Linked DNA regions of Drosophila melanogaster. The gene in region 1 interacts genetically with each later gene. Each region holds a gene or a part of one and is shown on either strand. Other genes may lie near its edges.

Region 1 (4,857 bases):
CAGCTGCTCCTCGAGATTAATGTAAAAGTAGCGCAGCTTGTGATTCCTGCCTTCACTCTGGCACTCCAGACACTCGTCTCCCGGCTGCAGTCGCTGCATTCTCAACGACGATTGTGGTGGTCCTTGGTTTGCCCGGCCGAAAAACTCAGAGGTTTCCCCCAGAATGCGCATGCTGTTTCTGCCGTTTGGCTGCCTGGTTTAATGTGCGTGTGCTCACCTGACCGAAGGTTAAACGGAAAGCGTACAGGCCGAGATTGCTTGTTTTCATGGTCCGTTCCAGTTCCAAATCGAGCAAATCGGGACCTGCAACAGTAGTAGACACGGTATCCGGTTATTCGAGCTTACATAACATCAATTGATTTTTCCCCGACTGCGTGCGCTTTGCTCTTGTTCGCTCATTGCTGGCGTTCTTTATCACTTACGTTTCGTTTGGCAATGGGAACTTTAGTGCTCGGCGCTCTCTGATTAACCGCGATTGCAGGTGCAGCCGATTAAACCAGCAACGTTGCTAAAATTTGGCGAGCAAATGAAAACCAAGAAAACTAAACGATCTAGAACTCATGTGAGTAGCGGGCAAGTGCGAAAGGGACTCGAGATTAGAGATGGGACTTCGAGTGGCTGCGATAGTATCGATCTACGGAGCACTTGCCTGCTGCGAGAGATAGCAGGGGTATTTTTTATTTTTATGCTTCATATTGTTAAGAAATCAACGAAAACTTTGAGCGTTAAAAAGAAGTTTCCTTACTTCAAATTCTTGTTGCATTTCCAACGCTTTCAGAATTTGAAACTTTGGAAATGTAACATCTTTAAAGTTGATGGGAGTACACATGCAAAAATATTGCGGGATCATTAAAAATACGAAAAGGTATTTTTCAGACCAAGCACACTTTTTTCTTTTCATGATATGTGTCCAATAGACAACTTGTCGGTGAAATGGTAGTTAAAAACCTTTATAGTGGAAAATATAAATTAAAGAATATCAGATTAAAACCCAAAGGGCAAAACGGTGTGACCGTTTTAGAAGCGAATTTAAATTTTGCGCTCAAATGTCAATGTTGCCACACCAACAGAAATCTGTATTCGAAATAATTTTACTGATTCTTTAAATTGGTAAATTATTTCAGGCCCAGCAACCTGCGACAAAGCCATCCCAAGAAAATATAAATTGAACGAGTAACCTAACAAAAAGTTTCTGTCAGCTGTTTTATATCGAAAAAAGTGCTGTTTTCCAACACTTCGTTTGCAGTCAGACAAGTTATCATTTCATAATTCGCAAAAGGAGCTAAATTCAATATCCGTACGAAATGAAGCTATCCGAGGGAGTTAAGGATCGTTTGGGATTTGTGGTTGGAGTCGTCCAGACTGGATTCCACTGGGGATTCGTGCCTCTTGTGCTGTATTTGGGTAAGTTGTGGTTCATGTTTTTTGTAATCTACACGCGGCTGGGAAGAAGAAGCAGCGGGGTAATATCAAATGGACCGACATTGATTTTGACCAATTCTCATTTTCGCAGGATTTATGAAGGGAGCTGAGCCTGGCATGCCGCCTCTGAACCTTTTCAGTCTGTTATGGCAGTAAAAATAGTGGACATGATCATTTTGCTGTCGTATGCCCCGCATTTTGGTTCTGGTTGGGTTTCTGGGAACGGGTGCAGTACCTGCAGCTATTGCAAATAAATATCTGTTACAAAACAAATCGAAATTTTTTTATGTATCCTGGAAACAACCAATATTTTAACAAAAATCATTGTCCATAAAAACATAACCGATTGGGCATTTTTACGCACTTCTCTAGCGGGTGGGTGTTTTTCATGGGCAGTCCAGCCTGGGCACACTACTGCAGGTGCGGTCACACTGTTTGCAAATCCACACACACCAGCGCGGTTTTTCGCTGCACAAAATTGTACATTTAAGAAAAAATAGCAGCAATTAATATAAACAAACGGTTGCCCCAGACACCCGAAAGTGCCGGCTGTCCCGCGGAATATGAAATAGTGCCACTTCCCCCGCGCCACTGCCCCAATCACGTGATGAAAATCCGCCTGAAAAGTCGCCCTCGTCCGTGAAATGTAAAGCAGAGCAGAGCAGTTTTTCCAACCAACTTGTGCGGAGTGTGGAGTTCGAGTTTCGCATTGCGGGCCCCCATCGAGATTCGCTAATTGTGAGAATCGCCAGTCTATATTCCCGGCCATGCCCCCGCCAAATGTGGGAATTCGCGGGCGCCTGTCCTACGCGATAAATGCGCAGTTCGGGGCCAATTAGTGGCTGTCTGAGGTGTCCTCCTGCCGCTCCTCCTGCTCCTGCGGCCCCGCCTCGTCCTGCCGCGAAACAACAATCTCATTTGCAGGCCACAGACTTTGAACTTGCGACGCGCGTGTGCGTGCGTGCGATCGTGGAAAACAAAAGAAAAGCTCTCGGGCTGCACAAACAATAACAATAGCTCGGGTCGGGTCGCACACACTATCGTCGGTGCGAATAGCCAACATGTTATCTGCGCTCCGGCTAATCTTCCTGGGCGCTCTGCTCGGCGCCTCTGTTTGCGGTGAGTGTACCCCCCAGCGGTTCCATTAATCTGGATCAGGTGCGAAACTAACCTAAAATCTCCCCCGGTGCAGCCTCCCCCATTGAGTTCGTAATGGACACCAGCCTAAATGGCTCTCGATCTGATCCTGCGACTGCAACCCACCCTGGCAAATGGCCACCGACGACCAAAGCGCCGGCGCTCAGGGCTCCAGCTGGAACAGCTGGACATGCTTATCAGTCGCCATCGTCGTCGCTGGCCGCTGATAACAGAAGCCACGACAACAACAACGCTAGCGCCGTGTCCATGCTGCTGCCGCAAGACGGCGACGCATCTGGAGCTGTGGCCCCTGCTGTTACTCCCCAGCTGCCCATCTACATTGCTCAGCCTAGCGCGAAAAAGCCAGAAAGTAAGTTCCGATTGCCTAACGAGAGTGTAGAGCACACTGCGGACAATGCACCCCGAATTATCTAAACAACAAGAATGTGATAGATTTACAGACTTGTTCCGGTATTGCCTTGCAAACATTTTACTTGACTTCAGTTAACCAGGAAAGTCAGCACAGAGTAAAGGTCATTTTACTTCCCTTTTTTAAGGTGAAATCCATTATTGGGAGAAGATAGAAACCGCTTAGTGGTTATACCTTACTTGTCCGATATATTGACATTTTTGTTGTTGTTGTTTAATAATTAAAATATCTTACCAAGGGTTACTTAATACTTGGCGATCTTTTCGATGCCATAGGGATCTTTTCTCCGTGTGTATATCGCGTGACTGTAACACCTCAAAGACTCTGAACGCTTCTAAAAGGCCGTCTTCGTCTGCGCCTGAGGCTCCGATTCCGTTCCCATATAGTGACGTCACCTCTCCGTGGTGTCAATGAGCTGAGCCAGACAGCTCTCATGGCCCACTCCAACGCTGCCTGGCTGCAGACACCCCCACGTCTGGATGCATTTGCTTGCTGCACTTGGGCACTTGCAACTGCAGTCGGTGCAAAAAAAAGCAGGCCTAAGCACTGGCACTGGCTTCTCGCTGTCCGGGGGAAGGGGAAACTGGTCGCATTGTCTGGCCCTCCACTTTGCACTTGTCTTCTCCGCGTCTGCTTTGTTAATGCTAAATGGTTTTGTTTTTGTTTCATCACGCTCTCGGCGGTGTCGGTGGCGGTAGATGTGGATATGGTAGTGGCTATGGATGTCTATGTGACTGTCTGGGCGAGCGTGTGCCCGGCCAGGTGCCCCGGGGGCATGGTTATGGCAAATCCCAATTTGTGGTCAGGAGATGCCAATCAGCGAGTGGTTGATTTATGGGTCTCTTATTTCTCTAATTAGTTAATTTCTGCCAGCGCCTAATTGATTGATTTGCTTCAATCGGAGTCGGGGCATTTTCTTAATTCGAGAAGTTTGCTACTGCTAACCTATGCTTTTGCGTTTTATTTGTTTAAATAATAAGAAAATCATTAACCGTGGCAAATGAGGCGCGGACCTCTTCCTTTGCTTACCTTTCCACAAGTAATTAATATTCATTAAATATTACAAGAAACACGTGCTTGGTTAGGATCACCTACAAATAGTGAAGATATATCGTTAAGCGAAGAATAAGTTTTTGTTGGTGAGTCGGTTTAAAGTTAACAAATTTTTGGTAGGAATGTATGGATTTGATAGTACTCTAAAGTTTGGTTTTTTGCAAATAGATCTTTATATTAATTTTACCTTTTATGTTCTGCAGACAAGATAAAATGCCACTGTGACACGTGCAAGGAATCGAACAATATATGTGAAACGGACGGCTTTTGTTTCACGTCCGTGGAGAAGAACTCTGATGGGAGCATCATCTTCAGCTACAGGTGAGTGCCGAGAGCCTGAGGAGCAGGCCTTTGATTAGGTTAGCACTTGCCCCTCAGAGCAGCCAGTGTGAATATGTCTGATACGATCGATCTATCGAGCGATGCAGATGTCTGCACAAGTCTCAAATCTTTCCGCCGGGCCGCTCCATCTGGTGTAACGACGGGCTGCACGGCGGACCAACCGCCCGCCCAGTGGGTCGCAATGGCGCCCACGCCTGCTGCAAGGACAGGGACTTCTGCAACCGATTTCTGTGGCCAAAGACGAAGGACCAGAGGAGTGATCGTGTCGAAGAAGGGCGGCAAATCTCCGTCCAAGGTGCGTGCGCTTATGCACGTGTTTCGCTCCCAAAAACCCCTCCTCTCTGACTGCTCCCATTTCTCTGTTCACTCGCACGCCGTTCAACAACCAGTTGCCCAGTTTTGATCGTTCTTTGGACTGTTTCCCCCACTTATGCTCGTTGAGTTGAAGTTTTGAAATGATCATAACCCCAAAT
Region 2 (7,564 bases), on another chromosome or scaffold:
GATGAATGGCCGGTAATCCTTGTCCACCGAAATGATCTCCTCCATGTCGCTGACATCGCAGCCACCGCAGGTGATTTGGATGAGGTGGCTCAGCTCGTGGCCACTGATCCAGTGTTTGATGGGCCACTCAATGTCGATCTTCATCCACTCATCTGAAAGTATGCGAAAGGAAAGGCAGAGCGGTTAGTTGGGGGTTCCACAGAGCCATCTTCTCTTCTCCCAGAATCGTAGATCCCATCTTTCTTATCTGGTAACTGACCCCAGGAACTCACAACTGTGCTGGGTTGTGGCCAAAGTTCAGTTTTTGCACCCACGAATAATGCTTTGTCAAGTTATTCACCCACATGAATTTCAGATTCGAGCCGAGCTATCAAGCAGTGCTATCACGAATCTGCGCAATGATCTGTCTAATTGAAAACACAAACAAGCGGTTGTCAACGTTGGCACTTATCGGCGTTCTTTATAATTTTTATAATACCCATCTAGTATAGACATGTCACATATTTTGATTTGTCCCCCGAGGGTATTGAGGGTCAGTTTTGGCCGTTCCGCGGCTGCCGACCAAAGGTCCAAACGTGTGCGATTCTTTTCTGGGCATGATTACGCTCTGGGGGGATGAGTGTTTATGCTATACTAATGTATACTATGTGTACCCACCTTGCACATTCACCGACTGGATGGCTATGGTCTTGGCCGCCGACAAATACTTGGAGTCCTTCTGCTGATCCACCTCCACCTCGGAGACTACGATCGTCTGCTGGGCACTGGTGCTGTTCACCGATGCCGTGTCGGTGCGGTTCTGTTTGTTCTTGAAGAGCCACAGGACGGCGGTGCTCACGTCGAAGCCCTCGGCATCTGCGTCGTCTATCTTGAAGGTGAAGCACATGGACGGATTGGATTTTCCATCTCTCGCTCGGTTGCACTCGACCTCCTCTGTAAAAATAAAGGATAAAGGGTTGTGTTAGCAAAATCAGAATGGTAAAAGGATTCCCTTTGAAGTTAAGCTTCAATCTTTACTTTCTAGTGCTTAAATCTAGATTTGCTTACCTCTATTGAGCAGTATGAACTTCTTGCTAGTGCGAGCGTAGTAATCGTCCAGCTCCTTGTTCTTGGTGCTATCGTCCGGATGGGAGAGTGTCATCCCGTCGAAGATGGGCTTGGGCAGCTCCACGGCCGACACCTTGGGGCTCTCCTTGAGGCGCAGCTTCTCCAGGATCTGCTGCTTAACGAACTCGATGCGTAAGTGGGTCAGCTGCTCCTCGGTGATGTGCTCCACTTGGCGATTGCTCTCGCACTTGGGGCATCCTCCGGCGCTGGACTTCACCGAAATGGTGATGTTCCTCTCACCCAATGGGAGCTCTGGCTCTATGGGCGTTTCCGGCTGCTGATCTAGGTCCAGATCGAGATCGAGATCCTTCTCCTGATTCTGCTGGTCCTCGGCCATCAGTTCGTTGCGCACAAAGTCCAGCGGCGACAGATCATCAAAGTGATCATCGGAGGAGAGGGATGACTCCTCGGGGGCATCTCCGTACATGATAGGCAACTCCACGGGCGGGCTCACATGTCGGTGTGCCTTCTCCTCCTGCTCCATGAGGTGTTGCCACAGGCGGGGCACCTTTAGCTGCTCCGAATGGGAGCCGGGATGGTTGTAGCTGAGCTCCTGCTGCAGGAGGTGCTGCCTCTTGTGGATGACGTGGCGCCTCAGGCGGGCATAGTACTCCCGCTTGGTGATCGGTACATCGTCCTCCTCGCTGGTCGGATCCGGTTCCAGGTGTTTCAGCTGACGGGATCGTTGCTGCCGGATATGGTGTTGCTGCTGCAGCTGTTGCGAGGTGTGCTGCACATGGGGATGCGGCTGGTGCTTAGGATGCGGACGAAGGATGTCGCCACGGGAACTCGGATGGGAGCGGGCGTGCAGGCGATTGTATACGTTCCTGTTCTCCAGGGCCAGACACACCAGCAACACCAGGGCTATAAAGTACTTGGCCATTTCTGAATATGTACTTATGACTTCTCTTTTTTTTTAACTGTGAGATATTTTATATGTATCTTATGATCTTCTGGATCGCCTTTGGTTTCACTCTTGTTTTGTCGGCTGGGGCTGATTGCTATCTGTTTGGCAGCATTAAAACATCAATTTTTCCGGCTTTCAGGTTTACAAAACTCATAGAATTGCAGCTGGTTTCACTTATTGTTGCCGTTTTATAGCCTTGTTTAAGCACTTTTAAAACGTTTATGCGTTTTTTATGATTTTATATAACAACGACTTATACGCTTGAATGATGCATGTTCAATATTTTAAACTTTTCGTTAAGTTTCGTCTGCAAATAAGAAGAAATTTGTAACTTAGTTAATATTGTAAGCACATTCCGATTATTAATCAAATAAATTAAAACAGCTATGCCCTAAATTTTCTCATAAATATTTGCGAACGCGCTGCCCCAATTAAAATGCAATTTAATATGCCAGCGGATCAGGTGCATTTATCACTATCACTCACTAAGCCCGAAGTCTCGCTTAATTTTTGCACCAAATTGCATCATTTATTCCATATCGTTGAGCTCGAATTGGCAGGTGGCAAAGTGCAAATCGTTTTTTTGACATTAATTCCGGGAAGATTTAGTTTAGTTCAGTATTCAATTTCACATTATCACATGGGCTATTTGCCCCAAGTGCGACTCAAATCGAAAGCGTAGTTGCGCAGATCCGCTGATAAGCGGGCTCAATTAGATGGCAATTAGGTGGACGTGGACCCCACACGTACCGTGGTGAGCACACTCCGATTTGCTCCAATGGGATCTGAATCTGCTCAGCCGGATGAATCCGGCGGGGGTTGCGGCATTAACTTTGAACCCGGACACGAAACACGAGTGGCACGGGCCTTTAGCTATAGCTGGGATCGCGCGTCTATATAGTATTCCACTTGTGGTATGGTCTATGATATAGTATGGTGCTTCTTTCTCTTCCGACATGCGGCAGCGCAAACGAGTTGTGAATGAATGAAGCGGTTGGCTGATTAGTAGAACAATTTATGTGACGATCGCCGAGCGTTTGATTGATCGTTCCGCGAGCGCCAGCCGAACCGAACCGAACCGAACCGAAACAATCCGAACCACTCGAATCGCATCGTATCTGACGGATCGTTTCGTATCGGTTGCGGACTCGGATCCAAGCCGAGCGGTTCGGGTCTCGATTTATGACTATAGACCATGGTTATGGCTACATGGCGCTCTCTCTTTAGCCGAAGACAATTGGATATGCAAGTGGGGTGCAGCATTGCATCAGCTTCTTGAAAACGCCAAGCCACCGAATTGCATAAAATTCTTAATTGCAATTTTATTTTTAACCTCCCGCCACCCTGACAATGCCACGCCCCCAGTTGGCGGCGTCACTATCTGTTGGCATTTTTGGCACTCGCTTGGCCACAATGGGGCATTTTGATATCAAGTGAATTTATGATCGCTTCAAACCGAATCGAATCGAATCGAATCGAGTCGAGTGGCCCATTCATGCTAATTACCCCGCAGCGTTATCAAGCTTGACTTTGATGATCCGACTCGATTGTGTGTCAATCAATTAATAGTGAACACGTTGCTGATAAGGGGCGGTTTCCCACTTTTGGTCCACAAATCGGGAGCATGGAATATGTAGTGCGGCATTTAACCAATTAAGTACGCTTAGCATGCGATTCTGGGCAATCCTAATCGGATTCGGTTAATAGATGCGCATTTCAAATACATAGTGTGTCTGTTTTCCAATTTAAATGCGAATGGGAAATTCATGAGTATTTCGGTTGGGAATTTCATCAGCCAGAATTTCTGGTCTCGGCTAAATGTGAAGCAGTCGAGTAAGGTCAAGAAAAGTATTTTGAAGGCCGGCAGATCACGAGTTATATTATACCGCCTATTCGATTTAGCCTTAAATGCTGAACACGTGCCCGATTCGCTTGTCACGAACTGTGATTTTTCTGAACCCAATTAGATCATCGAGACGAATAGAAATGATCTATACTATACGGAGGAGAAGGTCCGTTTAATTGATAGAAATTTTGTAGGCCTCAGCGAATTCTGGCAACATTGTTGGTGCGGCTTAAGCAAAAGCAAATTAATAGGGGTTCTTGTTAGGAAATAATACAATAAACAACTATAAGTATTGCATACTCCCCAATTTCATATTAGATTATGACACCTTTGACTTGCACAATTAAGTTTAGTTTTACGTGTTCCCATAAGTTACATAAGGTATTACACTTTTCCAGTGGCCCTTTTCCAATTTAAATGACGTCCTGGCCTTCAGCATATGTCGCACCACTTATCAACTCATCGCATATTTTTCCACAACCTACGTAGATTGCCACGTTCCAAAATCTGCTCCATTTTGTTTTTTCCAACACAACCAACCTGACGTCGATTAAAGCGACTGGGGGCCACATAATGACGGATCAGATCGGATGGGATGGGATCTGATAGAATGGATGGGGATCGGATCAGGAAGCAGGGCTTGGATTGTAGCACACACGCGACATGTGACACGTTTTGTACGTACTCTTCGTTTTTGACGTAACTCGAGCTGTCCGCACTGCACTGGACTTAATGACTGACTTGACTGACCGACTTATCAAAGGCAGGAATCGAAGCCGAGGCGTGCGACTGCGATGTGATGGGGGCCCGCGGAAAAGGGGTGCCGCTGGGAAGGGGGACAGAAGTTGAAGAAGGTCATTTAACGCCCGGCAGTCATGGCTACGTCATCGAGCACGCCACCAGCGCGTGATCAGAAGCAAAAGCTGTAGTGAAGACTCCGCGGTTGCCATGTCGATGCAAATCGGAGCAAAAAACTGCTGTGCCTGTGAATGGGGAGTTGGGGGTCTGGCGATGCGTCGATTGGAGGTGCAAAGTACAGCCGCTTGATGGAGATGGCTTCTTGACTAAGCGACTCTGCTTGGGGGTTTTCCATGGGCCTGCCCGTATCATTTTCGCATTAATTACGGGGCAGCTGGGACTGGATGTGGGGCTGGGACTCGGACTTGGAGTGGGGCTATCGTAATTGCCGGCAATTATCACTTGCATTTCTTCTTCGCGCGCAGCAGTTGAATGCACTGCGACAAAAACACGGCTGCTTCCATCGGTTTTTGGCAATAAATCACGGCGATCACGCCGTTCTCGCCGATCAGCGGTTGGGAGCATGCCACGATCTGGACTTTGGAACCGCTCACGGAGATTGCCCCGATTGCCAGAAGCCAGAGGCCCGAAGCGTCGCAAATTAATCTGCCATAATACTTTTCTCGCCACACGCTCATCGGCGATGCTACCATAAATCAAGTGCAGGATTAAATAAGATCATCATTGGTAGCAACTAAATTTGGCCAATGACTCTCGACGTGGCCGAAATTCGCCAAGAGCTTTTGGAGGTTATGCGCCTGGGTTATAGGCTCGAAAACTATCAATCAATCAATCGGTGATAGATAGGCCTCTGATCGATAAACCATTCACTGCATGATTAGTTTTTAATTACGGCATGATATTCCAAAAGCGAAACTAGAAACTTCCCTGCGATTTGGTAATAACTGATATTGAGCATTAGACTGCTAAAAAAAATATACAATTTCTAGTATCCCATGTTGAGGCTGATTCCATAATTCACATTTTTGGCACTTTTATTTAAACTTCTTACACAATAAGCCCTTGTGTTATGTAACTCACCCAAATTAATAATCCATTGTCAAAATGCTTGAATAACTTAGCACATTGTTTGCAATCTTCTGCGAAAAGGGATGCTTATCAAATGTCCTTGAGTGATTCTACAATCGATTGTCCGTTTATTTGTTTTCGCAAATCACTTTCGCAAACTCATTATTGTTTTGAATTTCACCACTTGAACTTGATTTCCTCAAAATGACGAGCTGATATTTCGCTGAGCAAAAACAAATGTTTTGAAGAAACATAAAGTATTATTCGTTCACACCAAGTTTCATGTACGATTTGCACGATTTGAATAATTTTCGATCCGATCGTTGGGAACGTCTGCGTGTGAATAATTCGACGATGGGCGGCGCAGCGGCCACAAAAGCCTGGAGCGGTACGACTAACGGTATCTGTGGGGAGCGGTATGGGTGTGAGTATGGGCCTGGGTATGGGTATGGGTATGGGTATGGCCCACTCTTCGGGCGGCAGACAGTTGAGTTTCAGTTTGTTTGATAACAGACACGCCGCCGATCATTGGCGCACTCCGCTGCTCTGCGTTTTAAGCGATGCGCAATTCTACTTTGCTTCCAGCAAGTGCGACAGAGAGAGAGAGAGGGAGAGCAGGGAGAGCCACTGATAATGGGTGGCTTTCCCCCCTGGCCCACACAGCAGCGTTTTAGGTCCGGTTGGCTCCCATCCGATCGCCTCCTGCATCGAACACCCACGCCGCTCGAGGCTGGAGCATCGAACAAGTTCGCTGGCCGGCGCTACATGTTCGATGGCCGTTCGTGAGTTCGAGCTTGTTGGGAATGAGGATCGAGCCCCAGCATTCGTCACCCAAAAACGTGAGCTGACGTCGTGCCGGTGGGGTTTTATCGCTCGATCCAACCGGTCCAAAGTTCAGCGGCAGTCCAGTCCAGCGGATTGCCTTTGACTTTCCCTGATAGCCGACATTGCCTAATGGCGATTGGTTCTCACAGCCAAAGCGATACCATCGCTTTCTTTTGATGGCCCAATGTCTATTAATAAGCGGTACTAGCGAGAGGTATGACTAAAATTGACGTATAACCATGAATGCTAGAAGAAAGTACATATGTATCATCGAAGAATATGCAAACAATGTCGTGTAAAAGACTGAACAATTAGATGTAATATAACGAATGAACTAAGTATACTCAATTTCAGACTCCACCCTACGTATGCCTTCCTGTTTTTGTTTAGCTCTTGGCCAGCTAATCGCTTTCCTCTTGACCAATTTACGATGTGGCTTTTACGACGTTTGGGGTTTCTTGTTTTTAACTTGCTGGCTGCTTCAATTGATTACCATGTGTGATATCATAATTTTGAAGTTTTCACGCCCGTCGAGCATGGGTCTCTTGAGATTACCTCGGAGGACAATAGTATGTAAATGGCTAATATTAATTAAATGCTGGCTCTGATTGCGTATCGCTGTGTTTCACTTTCAAACCTCATGCCAATCGACTGATTAAGTCCGTTCCGAGTTTTGTTTACCTTGAGATTTCACAATAAAGCATTCACCTCAAATATAATGCGATGGAATCGCACAATATACCTTTCGTGATTTGTATACTCAGGATCGAGGCAAAATCTCACTCGAAACGTCTAATTTTTAAATGTGGCGCGCGTGCTGAAAAACACGTCACAATGCACGGCTTATCGTGGCCGGGCCTCTGGAATTTCAGTTTTTAATTAAAACAGTGTTTTGGTGTCATAATTAAGTCAACAATATATGATGCTTATACCCTTGATAGGGGTACTATGACTTTAGTTACACGTTTGAACTGCAAGCTTAAAGTTACCTTAAACATCTAAAGATTCATTCTAATATTTTCTGAACTATTCATCGCTTCATTTGATTATAA

Evidence for each region. Genes that interact genetically often act in the same process or in processes that back each other up.
Region 2: of babo (region 1) and daw, changing one enhances a phenotype caused by changing the other (phenotypic enhancement), as found in Drosophila melanogaster (one study listed by BioGRID).

Annotation. Positions count from the first base shown.
Region 1 is NT_033778.4:8,950,489-8,955,345, forward strand, and holds the start of babo (baboon), read left to right. Parts: upstream 1-1,850; 5' UTR 1,851-2,483; coding exon 2,484-2,541; intron 2,542-2,614; coding exon 2,615-2,929; intron 2,930-4,245; coding exon 4,246-4,363; intron 4,364-4,470; coding exon 4,471-4,679; intron 4,680-4,857. Other genes in the region: CG33199 (uncharacterized protein), read right to left, coding at 218-268; CG8229 (uncharacterized protein), read right to left, coding at 1-99; Tom7 (translocase of outer membrane 7), read left to right, coding at 1,305-1,404, 1,514-1,578.
Region 2 is NT_033779.5:2,803,737-2,811,300, reverse strand, and holds the start of daw (dawdle), read right to left. Parts: upstream 6,041-7,564; 5' UTR 5,700-6,040; intron 2,980-5,699; exon of another isoform or gene 2,765-2,979; intron 2,322-2,764; 5' UTR 1,991-2,321; coding exon 1,048-1,990; intron 934-1,047; coding exon 658-933; intron 153-657; coding exon 1-152.